3 linked regions of the Nothobranchius furzeri genome follow. The protein of the gene in region 2 interacts with the protein of the main gene of each other region in a pairwise test. Links are inferred from orthologs where the notes say so. Each region holds a gene or a part of one and is shown on either strand. Other genes may lie near its edges.

The links.
Region 1: the proteins of klhl2 (region 2) and tma16 interact in binary tests that used the Homo sapiens proteins (3 or more experiments, as listed by UniProt). The two-hybrid records come from large-scale screens. The link is inferred for Nothobranchius furzeri from reciprocal best matches to the Homo sapiens genes KLHL2 and TMA16.
Region 3: the proteins of klhl2 (region 2) and txndc12 interact in binary tests that used the Homo sapiens proteins (3 or more experiments, as listed by UniProt). The two-hybrid records come from large-scale screens. The link is inferred for Nothobranchius furzeri from reciprocal best matches to the Homo sapiens genes KLHL2 and TXNDC12.

What each region holds. Positions count from the first base shown.
Region 1 is NC_091747.1:80,901,822-80,905,969, reverse strand, and holds tma16 (translation machinery-associated protein 16), read right to left. Parts: upstream 2,845-4,148; 5' UTR 2,769-2,844; coding exon 2,766-2,768; intron 2,662-2,765; coding exon 2,558-2,661; intron 2,373-2,557; coding exon 2,335-2,372; intron 2,251-2,334; coding exon 2,166-2,250; intron 1,592-2,165; coding exon 1,443-1,591; intron 1,366-1,442; coding exon 1,323-1,365; intron 1,140-1,322; coding exon 977-1,139; 3' UTR 574-976; downstream 1-573. UniProt on the Homo sapiens protein: Involved in the biogenesis of the 60S ribosomal subunit in the nucleus.
Region 2 is NC_091744.1:20,905,474-20,909,123, reverse strand, and holds part of klhl2 (kelch-like protein 2), read left to right. Parts: intron 1-294; coding exon 295-411; intron 412-2,813; coding exon 2,814-2,963; intron 2,964-3,063; coding exon 3,064-3,181; intron 3,182-3,650. UniProt on the Homo sapiens protein: Substrate-specific adapter of a BCR (BTB-CUL3-RBX1) E3 ubiquitin ligase complex that mediates the ubiquitination of target proteins, such as NPTXR, WNK1, WNK3 and WNK4, leading most often to their proteasomal degradation.
Region 3 is NC_091751.1:41,996,807-42,001,015, forward strand, and holds the start of txndc12 (thioredoxin domain-containing protein 12), read right to left. Parts: upstream 2,867-4,209; 5' UTR 2,773-2,866; coding exon 2,673-2,772; intron 1,757-2,672; coding exon 1,696-1,756; intron 1,511-1,695; coding exon 1,458-1,510; intron 1,096-1,457; coding exon 1,022-1,095; intron 930-1,021; coding exon 860-929; intron 575-859; coding exon 491-574; intron 1-490. Other genes in the region: transcription factor BTF3 homolog 4, read left to right, coding at 3,847-3,900. UniProt on the Homo sapiens protein: Protein-disulfide reductase of the endoplasmic reticulum that promotes disulfide bond formation in client proteins through its thiol-disulfide oxidase activity.

The sequences.
Region 1 (4,148 bases), on a different chromosome or scaffold from region 2:
TGTGACTAAATGGCGTATTGATGCCATTTCATCTGTAAGCACTTTCTAAACTTGCACTGATACTAATTAAAATTGTGAAAACCCTGAAGATGCTTTGGGTTTAAGGTCTCAGTATGCTTCAAATGAACCTCACACAACAGGACTCTTTAAATCCAACTGCATTTGATTCAAATGGCTCACGGAGATGCACTTTAACTATAAATCTAATCATGTTTCAGTTTGTTTGCAAGTCATCACATCCATCTTTGTGTTTGTCTTCTCCCTTAATTCTTCCAATTTTCACTTTATTTTTTACAAGCTTGAACATATTTATCTGATGTGGGGTAAGACAGGTTGTTATCACACAGAAAGTATAGCCTGATGTTTATTTGTGAGGCTACAGAGATCACACGAGCAACCTGACTGAAGCATACCGAGGACTTAACACTCCTTCTGGACAACCAGACACCAAAGACTCACATTAAAAACCTCACAAACCAAATCCTTCATCCCAGTCTAGAATCTAAATATGTAATATTAGAAGAGGTAATGATGAAAAAGGTTTAGTTGGTAAATAGAACACCAGACAGCCTGTTTGTTGATAAATTGTAGTTTTATGTAGCTTTCATCTGGAGATTATCAGTAATTGATACATTATGACAACCAGAACTTTACGAATGTTTTTCTTTGTCCAATCTTGTGCAGGACTGTTTTGCAGCATGTTTGTTTTTTCAGCTCTGAATAGACACGATGCAGGTTACATGCATAATGGAATTGTTTGTGCAATAAATGAATGTAGAACCTCAAAAAGTCCAGTCTGAAGTTACTGACTTGTCAAATGGAAAAACTTGGTATGGGAACAATTTAGGTGTCGGACTTGGGGTTTAGCACCACCCGCAGGTCATCTGTGGAACAGAAGCATCTTCTCACACGATTTCTTCCCTTTACAAGCCTCCCCACTTCCACAGAGGCTTCCATATTAAAGCACAAACAAGTGTTAGTGATCAGTCTCATCCATCAGCTCATCATCCAAATCATCTTCCTCAGGAACTTCCTCTGGATCTTCTTTTTCCTCCATTTCATTTCTTGTGTCCACATTTTTCTTTGATACTTTTCGTAGTTTTATGTTTGGAAGTTTCTTCAGATCTCCGGTCCATTCTCTGCCAAAAGAAAAATAAAGTTTAAATATTCCATGATTAACATTACAGAATTACTGCATATTTATGCCTTCACTGAAGATGATCTCACTATTTCACTCCATGAGTGATTTGAATGGAAAATGTACCTGATGCATTTCCTGGGTGAGCAGGTGTTCGTTAAATGCAGATAGCGCAAACACTCACCTGAATGTTTTCAGATGCTTTGTATTGATGATGTCTGGAATCTCTGGGGGGGGGGGGATAAAGGAGTTTTTTCAGACCAAAGTGAACGCATGAGTGAAGCATTTTTGCATTGAAACAAACCAAATCCGACGCCTTCGTACTGCGCCTGTTCTCGCTCCACGGTCTGTTTGATGACAGCCTCTCTGGCGCCATGAAGACGACCCTGCCGACCTTTGATCCCATTCATCAACTTGATCTGTTCCAGTTCTGAATCAAATCTGTGAAGGTACCTGAACAAACACCAAGATCTTATAATCTCATTGAAATCAGTACAACTCGTTTATGAAGACAAACAGCCTGATGAGATTACTACCAACCACACAGACAACATTTGGGTCACGACGGTGAACTTTTTAAATGTGTTTTAATGTCAATATGCATCATACTGAGGTCAGTAATGTACCACCTAGGTTATTTTTGCACATCTAAATGTTTACATTCAATTCTGCATCTTTCTCATGAAACATTTGAGGCCATCTGTAATTTTTTTTATTCTATTTTGCATTAACTTGTGATTACTTTAATAGCCATTCAGTCTTTTGACAAAGAGGTTGTGTTAAACCACATCATTTTACACAGTAGTTTTCTTTGTGCGATTACCTCTGGAGGAAGACGATGATGCATTTCTGGAGTTTTACGGCCTTAATTGTCACTGAATTTTCAGTGTTTTGATCACAGACACCCTGATCAAATAAAATTAAAGGCTCAGCCCTTTGAAAAGTGTTGGCATGGAGTCTTTGAGCAAATCAAGTTACAAATATTACCAATAAGAGCAAAACAAGTAGAAAAGAAAATGTTTGGGACCTTTCAATAATCTCACAGGCATCTTTCCGGGAATAATTTGTCTTCGCTGAATCCAGCTGACTCTGAAACCACAGCAGCTTCTCACCTGTAATTTAACACCCAGATACAAGATGAATGAGTTTAATCATCTTTAAATGTTTGTATTAGTTCGACTCAAACACTTGTTTACCAATGTTGTTCAGACGCGCTGCTTTCTCGTTTTTCTGCCTGCAGCATCACAAAAGACATTTAGAACATTTCCATCCGGGAATTTTACTTTTTCAAGCCACTTCGAAATAAAACTGAGCAAAGAAATAATTTGTTGCCCTAGACGTCATATCTTGTAATAAATCACAATCCAAATACTACAGAGTTTCTGCTTTTGATGCGTTTTATTTAATTAATTAACAAACCTTTCTTTCCTTTTCAGTCGGTTTTCTTCCCGGGCAAGGTAAGCTGCTTTCCTGCTGTACGGATGAACAACTTTCTCCGCCGCTTTCCCCTTCTGGGTCTTCGGCTGCAAAATAAAAACTAGTTTAAATATTTTATTTTGATTCTATTAACCTTTAACTCGTATTTCTGTTGTTATAAACACAAACGAGCTCATGGAAACAGCCTCACCATCGTTTCAGAGTGAAAACGTGTGTTGAAGCTCTGTTGACACTGAGCACCGGAAACGGAAGTGGTCCGTCGTTGAATTGTGTCGTTAAGGAAACGTTCCGGATGTACACTTGTAATTGGACGGCTGCAAAACTTTCGTCACAATCAGATTTTTAAAAAATGAAGAAAAAAAGTTTTTTTATTGTTACTAGACTTTTGCAATTTCTTAAATGTTTTGACTCTAAAATTTGTTTCATATAAATGAAATAGGATTAAAATAAAAAATATTTTGCTGTAAGTACAACAAAGTTGCAAACTGATAGACAATTTTTTTGATCAAAAGAAATTTTAAAATGAAAAACAGTGTTGTTTTTGTGGTGTAAATAGAGCAAATCACTTGCATTTGAGCAAATAAATATATCTGTTTTGAGTGTGCTTGGTGCACACACAAAAGTATTTTTACATATTAATTTCGACAAATATTAACATCAATCCAGTCAACTTGTCAGTGTGAGGAGAGCAGTCACACTCCTCCTGCACCTCAGACTTCAGTCAGCTCTTTTATAGATTATGTAAAACAATAAGCAGAAAAAAATGTTTTTGTTCCTAAAAGGAACATGTGCAGAACTAGTTATTTCACACTGTTAATGGCTGAAAATCAGTCACTGACAGCATTTAAACTCAGTACAACTTTATTCATTTGGGGCCAATTTGTCACAAAAGTCACTTAAAACTGATATTTCAATGTAAGTTTGTTGCTGTTTATTAAAAGTTGTACAAATAAAAGAGCCAACATACTGCATCAGTTATCAATCTGAGCCAGACAACAGTAGGGAAAAACTAACAGGGAGGTGGATGGTCAAAGGATAGGACTGAAGCACAGAAGTGCATCCTGGGATGTCCTGGGGCACAAGCTCACCTGAGTTAACAAAAAGGGAAGTTTCAAAGGCAAAAAGCAGAACCAACCCCCCCCCCCCCCCCCCACACACACACACACACACACCTTTAAAACGTTCCTCTGCAATACAATAGATGGTTCAAGTAAATATAAGTAAAACAACCCTTAACAGGGTTTCCTGTGCTGGCTCAGCTCACGGCTGTCGCATCTCTAAGACATAATCAGAAAAAGGCAACGAGGAGATGGTTTATGGATTCACTAGTATAACAATTGTGACTCTTCAGCAAATAAAGTCCCTGTTTTTGTAAGAGAGTCATACATAAATTACTTACTTGCTAACAGTAGTCATGGGTTGGTGGTACATCCTCCAGGACAGAGCACCGCCGACTGCCTCCATACCATAAAAACAAAAAACATTTCTTTGTCTCTCATTGTCTACAGATGATCCAGTAAAATTTAAGAGTACTGGATTAATTATATTCTTGACAGACATGTGGTCCTATCCA
Region 2 (3,650 bases):
ATTTTACAAGCACAGAGAGCTGCATCAGATGGATGGAAGAGCCGAGGGTTGCCGATCCCTGGTATACTCTATAAAATGACATGTTGAGGACACAAACTCAATACATCTCTTTTATTGTGAGGTAATAATTTCTCAGAGTTTTGCGGTTGCGGGCGGGAGTGGACATGCACACTGCGGGTGCGGGCGGTAATGGTCAGAAATTCAGCGGGAGCGGGATGGAGAAAACAGTCCCGTGCAGGGCTCTACACCCCAGTCCAATTACTTTTGCGTAACACCGGTGTGATTTCTCCACAGGTCTTTGAAGCAGTTATAGCGTGGGTGAACCATGACAAAGATGTCCGCCAGGAACACTTGGCTCACCTGATGGAGCATGTTCGTCTACCGCTGCTCTCCAGAGAATACCTGGTGCAGGTGCGCTGGTCTTGGCCTGCGTGTTGTTTGTTTTACCAGTGTCTGAGAAAACATCGATTCTCTGTCTCCGTTGTTTTGGCTTCAAATTAGAATTCACAGTTGCTTCCTATCACAGAAGACAACAGGTGATCAAATCAAAAAGGGTGAGCTTGTTTCTGATTTTACTGGTAACACAACAGGTGTTCTGGTGACTGCAGGGTCATATTTAAATGTGCCTCACAGCGGGGCTTTAGTCAGGGCAAAGCAAGACTGAGACAAGTCTAAAACACTGGGGTGATGAAGATCACCATGGAATGATACTGATGAGTGAGCAGAGTCACTGACGTTCACACCTTCAGTAGGGATGTCCGATATTATCCACCCATTATCACTTTCAGCCGATATCGGGATTAAAATGAAATATTGGTAGTTATCTGTATCCATTTTTACTTTTTTAAAGTGACAGCGTGTATTTTCCCTGGCGATAGGGGGCAGTAGATACCTAAATCCTTGCAAGCAAGCATTATTTTTGTGTAAGACCTTACCAACAGATGGCCATTAGGGTAAAAAATCCTTGGGAGTACAACCTCCAGCAAAATAACAAGAACATCAGATTCCCTTTCATTACTTGCAACGAGTGAAGAGGTAAACGTGTAAGAGAAAAATCTTTATTAATGCTGAAAGTTTTGCAACCATTTGTTACAAATCAGTAAATGCACTTTGTTGTCACGGGACTGAAACTTGGCATCCAATATGGCGTTGCCCAGAGACTTAGGCCCAATTCCAATACTCGCACTTGCACCCTTGCGTCCTACATTCCTGGCCAGGGGTGCGAGTGCGTAGAGTGTCCCGATTCTCAAGCGTGGAAGTTGGCCACGCCCCCATTACACCCTTAATCTGCACTTCACCCAAGTCCGCAGTGATGTGGACCTTGGGCAACGGTATTACCCACAAGTCATTGCTGCGGGAGAAATGGCTCAAGTTCCTTTTCTGAAAATATGTATTTTCTAATCAAATTTGTTCATTTTAGGAAGATTATTTGATGCTCTGAATGTTTTAGACAAAGCAGCAATGAAGTAAAATTTATTTCAAAGAATTGCCTTGTTGTTTGAAAGTTGTTAATAAAGGTTTTTGAAAAAAGTTTGACAGCGACCAGCATCCCGGCGTGCGGTGCGATCGATGACGCAATGCTCCCTGTCTCAATTCGGCAATTATTTGCACACTTGTGTACTATGCATTCAAACCCTACTGCGCTCTTTCTCCAAGTGCACTTTGTTGAAGACCACAGGGTGCAGTGCGAGTATTGAGATTGGGCCTTAGACCCGCTCCCATGTATTTTAGAACAGATTTTTATGGTTATGTGTTGTGAAACCACCAATATTTTTCAACAACTGGACTTCATTGAATTTATTTACAACAGTTTAATTGATTATTTCCAGAAATGAATGGTAAAAACTACACATTGTCACTTTAAAGAGCAAGTCACCCCCAAATAAACTTTTTTTTGCTGATAAACTAAATAAACGAGTGTCTAATCGTGCTGCAGACACGTGTCGTCAATAATTTGGCACTTCAGTGCATCTTAGTTAAAATTTAAATATTCTGCCTAAAACTGTCAGTGTTGTGCCGTTGTCAGGTAAAAACTCTGCACTGTATTCTAATTTAAATCTGCCACCACTATTGGCTAAGAGGTATGCTATGATGTAAACTGGTACGTTATGATGTCACAATGCCTGTGTGTTTGTGTATTTGTTAGCAGCTCCGCCCTCTCGGTCTGCCAGGCAACAGCATTTGTTGCATTTTTCAAACATGAAGTGGGAGTGGAGTTAGAATCTGGTACGGGTTGACTTGCTCTTTAATGACGCAACCTTGACATACCATGCTCATATTATACAACAAACTCTTCAGCCACTTCTCTCACTCAAAATAAATAAAAAAACGACAGATCTGAGGTTTAGTTAATTAGATATTTTTGTTTGTGTGGCACAGTTAGCCTAACTTAAATGGAAGTAGTCATCACATTTTGTACATGCAAGTGATGGGACAGTTAACGCAATGGTTCCCAACACTTGCCTGGGTTCAAGACAAGCCAAGGACCCCCAACACCAACTCCTACCCACATATGCACATTAAAAGGGATTATTACAAACTTTATGCAGACATTCAGAGTTATAAATCTTACAGAGTTTGATTTATACTATTGGGTGTGTAAGGTGGGATTTTCAAAATGCTATTTTTTTACAAATGTAGTTTTGGTAACCTCAGCACAGACAAAATTGTGGGTGACCCCTTTAGGGGGTCACAGACCCCCAGGAACCATTGAGTTAGCGCATAATATTGTTGTTTTTCTCTTTAAAGAGCAAGTAACTATCAGTTGTCCTTGAAACAACCCAATTTGATTGGTTCCTCTTCTGCCGTGGCAGCGTGTGGAGGAGGAATCCCTCATCAAAAACAGCAGTGCTTGTAAAGACTACCTGATTGAGGCCATGAAGTACCACCTACTACCAGCAGACCAGAGAGCTCTGATGAAGACGGCTCGCACCAGAATGAGAACCCCTGCCTCCAGTCCCAAGGTAGAAACACGGCCACCACTCAGAGGCTACGGGTCAGGGGGTCGAGCTCTTTCACACCCCCAACAGCTTGCCTCGTAACTCTTGTTTCTCTGGTGTTTAGGTGATGGTGGTGGTTGGAGGTCAGGCTCCTAAGGCCATCAGGAGTGTGGAATGTTATGACTTTGAGGAGCAGCGATGGTACCAAGTGGCTGAACTTCCCACCAGGAGGTGCAGAGCAGGTAGGAATAATAAAAACCTCTATTGGCTTTTGTCCTCCAGACCCACAGCAACCCTATCCAAATGTAGAGCTCGAAAAGTGACTAACACACTTTCAAACGGAGAATACCCTGAGCGTGATGTACAGATTTAGTCTTCTGGTGCTCCATGAGACAGACTGTTGTTATTTTACCACAGGAAACGATCCATGCTGGTAACCAGTAATGAAAGCAGGCTGTGTTTGTAAGCACAACGAGGAATGGGTGGCGCTTCATTATCTCCTGTGATGAATGAATTAGAACTGAGATCTGTGCTGCATGTTTTTGAACGCGTTGGAGACGAGGACGAGCAAGCACAGATCTATAAATGCAATGATGCACAAAATGATTTTTTAATGCATGCAACTTCACGGTGACAGGCGCACAGGAGTTAAGTGCTCGCCCAGTAATCGGAAGGTTGCAGGTTCGAGCCCCGCTCAGTTTGTCGCTGTCA
Region 3 (4,209 bases), on a different chromosome or scaffold from region 2:
TTGTTCTTATTGAATTTGTATATTTGACTTTTTATGGTGTATTAATACTGTTGCTACTTTTGCGTATTTGTTTTATGGGACGACGGATGGAAATAGGCATTTTTGCTAAATCTGGGGTAATTACGTTCATTAATAGGAACAGTCCCATTCAAATAATCAACAGTTTTAAATAGAATCTTTAGGCTCCTTGCTACTGACAACACCATACAAAGACACCATTTGTTTTAATTTCTCGCGTTACAACATCAATAAGGTGATTTCCAAACAGATACCAACTGTAAACTTGCTGGATTTCTATTTTTTCTTACTTTAGAACACTAAATCATCTTTTGGTTTTCCTACAGTGTTTTCATGACACCATCCTTGCTGGGATCATCCTAAAAATTGCCAGTGTCCATATAAAAAGAATGAAATTGAAAGATTTTAGTTTCTCTTCCTTAAGAAAAAGTGGAAATAGTTTGAGACATTTGCACAGAACGTAACCCCCTACCCTGCTCTGCTGTGCTGTAGAAGTACTTGTAGTTGGGATTCCCATTTTTGTTGCTGATTTCTGGATGGACTTTGCCTCTCGGATCTGTAAGTGGAACAAACAGGTTTTTTAGTAGTATGGTGCACGTTTATTGATGCTCCTTGAGTGTATGCAGGCTTTTAAATGTGATCAGCAGGGCAAAAGGGACCAGCAGCAAATTCCCAGGGAGCTGTCCCACCGATGGGATTCCTGTCAGGACATGTTTAAAGGCCCCGGTGTGATCCCGCTCCAAGAGCTGCTCAGGCTCTGCTATAGTATGTCGCTTCTTGAAGAGCCACTGCTTTTTTATCGTAAAGATCTCAATCGGGTTTTATGCAAATGAGTTCATACCGAGGAAAAGAATCCGAGGAATGTATCCACCGTCTGGGCTGAAGGCTTCATCCTTGGGCTCCTCTTCATCCTGTCATAAACAGTTACAACTTTAACTACCTGATGCATGACTGCTGCTTTAAGGAAAATGAAAACAAAATTAAACCAATTGCTGTTTCTCACCTCCACATTCACCATTACAAAGTTGTGTGCCAGTTCAGAGATTTCCTTGGATTCAGCAAATTTGGGCTTCAGGGCTGATTTGTAACAAATAAGAAAAGAAAGTTATTTAAAAATGTGACTCTTCTTATCTCTACTTGATAGTTTTAGAGTAAAAACTTTGAACATTCTGAAAAGAAGCCTTTCACAGAGCGAAAGCCGGTATGGGCCATTGCCTTCCTTGTTTTTGAGGAAAATCTGAGCTAAATGACAACTTCCTGGAAGTACTTCTGTGTTTTGGGATTGGCAAAAAAAAAAACTAAAACCAGATGGAAGTAACTCCAAGATCAAACGCCTCACAAGTCGGACCAACTTCACTGTTGCTTGTATTATTTATGAGTGCCAGTGGACACCAGAGTTTTGTCTGGCATTCCCAGAAAAAGAAACAGTAAGTAAATACCTTTGCAGGCTCCACACCAGCTCTTGTGGATGATGAGCATGATCGGCAGCCCGCTGTCAATTCACCAACATGGACACATGCATCAAAGTCAGTCAGAACAGTAAATATACAACGTAGACTTTCTTTATATAAACCGGAAATGCAAGATTTTTAAAAGGAAGGGAGTTGGGACCCAAATGAAAATGTTTCTTGTTCCTCCAGATAATATTTACACAAGAGGCTTCAAACAGGAAGCTACCTGGCTTCAGCTTCCTTCTTCCCATCTTCCAGCGTCCTCCAGTGGATATTGTCCCCAAATCCTGCAGGGTTCATGAGCACAACAGCATTGTGTAACTGGAGTTAAATTTCCACACAAGGGTGGGTCTGGCCTAAATACAGAATCAATACAAAGAACTGGGACAAATAACTAATATAACTGGTATGTTATGTTAAGGCTAAACTTTTAAGTAAAATAAAATCAATTATTTTAAGAATTGAACGAGAAACTTAATGGTTACTTTCTGTTTTGGTGGAGATAATTATTAATTTAATCAAATTGAATCGGAATTAAACAATACAGGTTTAACAGACCTAAAGTATTGTTTTATTTTTGCTTTAAGTCAAATGAGGTGTTTGTAGAAGAAGAAGTATCATTTCTATAGCGCCTCTCAAGATAAAAATCACGAGGCGCTTCACAAAAACAAAAAATGTAAAAATATAAAAAATAATTTAGAAAATGTTTAAAAATATATTTAAAATGAGCAAAAAATAGACAATTGTGATTAAAAAATGTAAAGAAAGAAAGAAAGTGAACAGGAAAGAGGGGAATCAGTGGACGAGGAAGGTGAAATAGGTAGGGAGAGCAGAATAAAGAGAGTGGTGAAGAAGAAGTTATACAAAAGCCAGCTTGAACAGGTGAGTTTGAAAGCTGCTTTTTAAAGGAGACCACTGAGTCCACTGATCTCAGGCTCAGGGGGTAGTCTTGTAGAATTAACTTTTTCGTGTAAGATTTATTAAAATGCATAAAATACATTTTCAAGAAATAAAGCATGAGTGTCTGGAAGTGAAACAAGTTAGTGACACTAGACACAACACGCCTGTTTATTAGTCTTCAAGGACGCACACAATGTGATCCGGGATGCTGACAAAGAACAGCAGCTCTCATTTCTACCACACTTTCAATGAAGCTGCTCCAGCCTGCTTAAAAAACTTATTTTCTCCTATATATGAACTCACCTCTCCCACTGGCGGCTTCCGCAACCACATCAAAACACGAAAAAGACAATAAAACCTGGAAAAAGGAGAAAGCAGCGACATTTACTACAGACAGTTGCATGTTTATTGCCTTTCTTTCCCACAACTGCGGCTAGCAGGCAATGGTAGTAATGGAAAGCTCAATAGTCAGTGACCCGGATGTGCAACCGCAACATTTCACAATAAAGGTTTTGTCTCGGAATAAAAATCTTAACAGCGCGCATGCTAGCCATGGTAGCGCGCGCGTGTGTCTCGCTTGCTATTGGCCACCAGCTTTTTTTTTTCCCATTTAGAGACGCGTTCACGTGACATTACATCTACACAACCGCGTGCTCTTCAATGCAGTGTTATGTCAAGCTAGACAAACAATGTTGGTATAAAACCGGAAATGACGACGAAAATTGCAAAAAATAAGTTAACCAAAGGAAAGCAGAAAGTTGTAAGTAATTAAGTTTTTGTTATTAAATCTTTGCTATGTATATATTAAATTTATTTCGTTAGTAAAATAGCATTTTTCCCCAAATTTGTGTAAAGTAATTACAATTTCTGCACGTGGATGAGATTTATTTGGCAAAATAATCACCGGAAGTTGTATGTTAGACTACTAATTTGACTGGTGTCTAATCCGTCTTGCTCCGTTCCTAGCAAACACAGTTCAACGGGCTGTTAATTCACAATCAGAGGTAAATATACCGTTTAAATTAGCGCTAAATATTTTATTTGATGTTGTGAAAGCCGTATCTTTTGGTGTGGCTCAGGCTTTAAATAGATAGTCAAAGTTATTTCACGGCATTATTTTACCGTTAGCGTTAGCTCAGTCTACCTCGATATTTCTCAACTAGCTAGCTTCAGTTAAGCACCAACGTAAGTTTAAAATAACTCATTAATTAATTAAATTAATTTCTTTATTTTGCTTTGTTTAAATTAATTTCTTTGATTTGATGGGGTTCATGTGAGTAAAAATGCTAACTGGCTTGTCTAAATTCTGCTAACCTGCTGCTAAGGTGTGAAGAAAGGGCTCTTGCCCAACACACTGCTTAGCTAGCATTCTTGTGTCTGAACGGCTAGCTGGTTGGGCGGTGTAAACTTGTATATTTGGGTTTTTAACGAGGATTTAATTTTTATTTTATTTGTTTTATTAAACCAACAGAACATTATGAATCAAGAGAAGCTGGCCAAACTTCAAGCTCAGGTCCGGATAGGAGGAAAGGTACAATTTAAAGCTTGACTTTTTGTTGTAGTTCCAGATGTGATGACAAATGTTTAGTAGTACTTGATTAAAATTAGTCGGACATTTTATTTTAAGAAGTTTAAAGGTATTTGGAGTCGGCCAAATCTTTTCTACTGACTTCAGCATTCTCTTTGTTAGGTGAAGCTCTGGCCCCTGCATCTGTGACCTTTGTGGCTTTGTGGCATTAACCGTCAGGTCTTCAGCCACACACTAGATGGCATTATTTTTAATTTTGTTGGGAAAAGTTCTTCCGGCTCCAGCAGCCACATAACATTTTCTACAATAAAA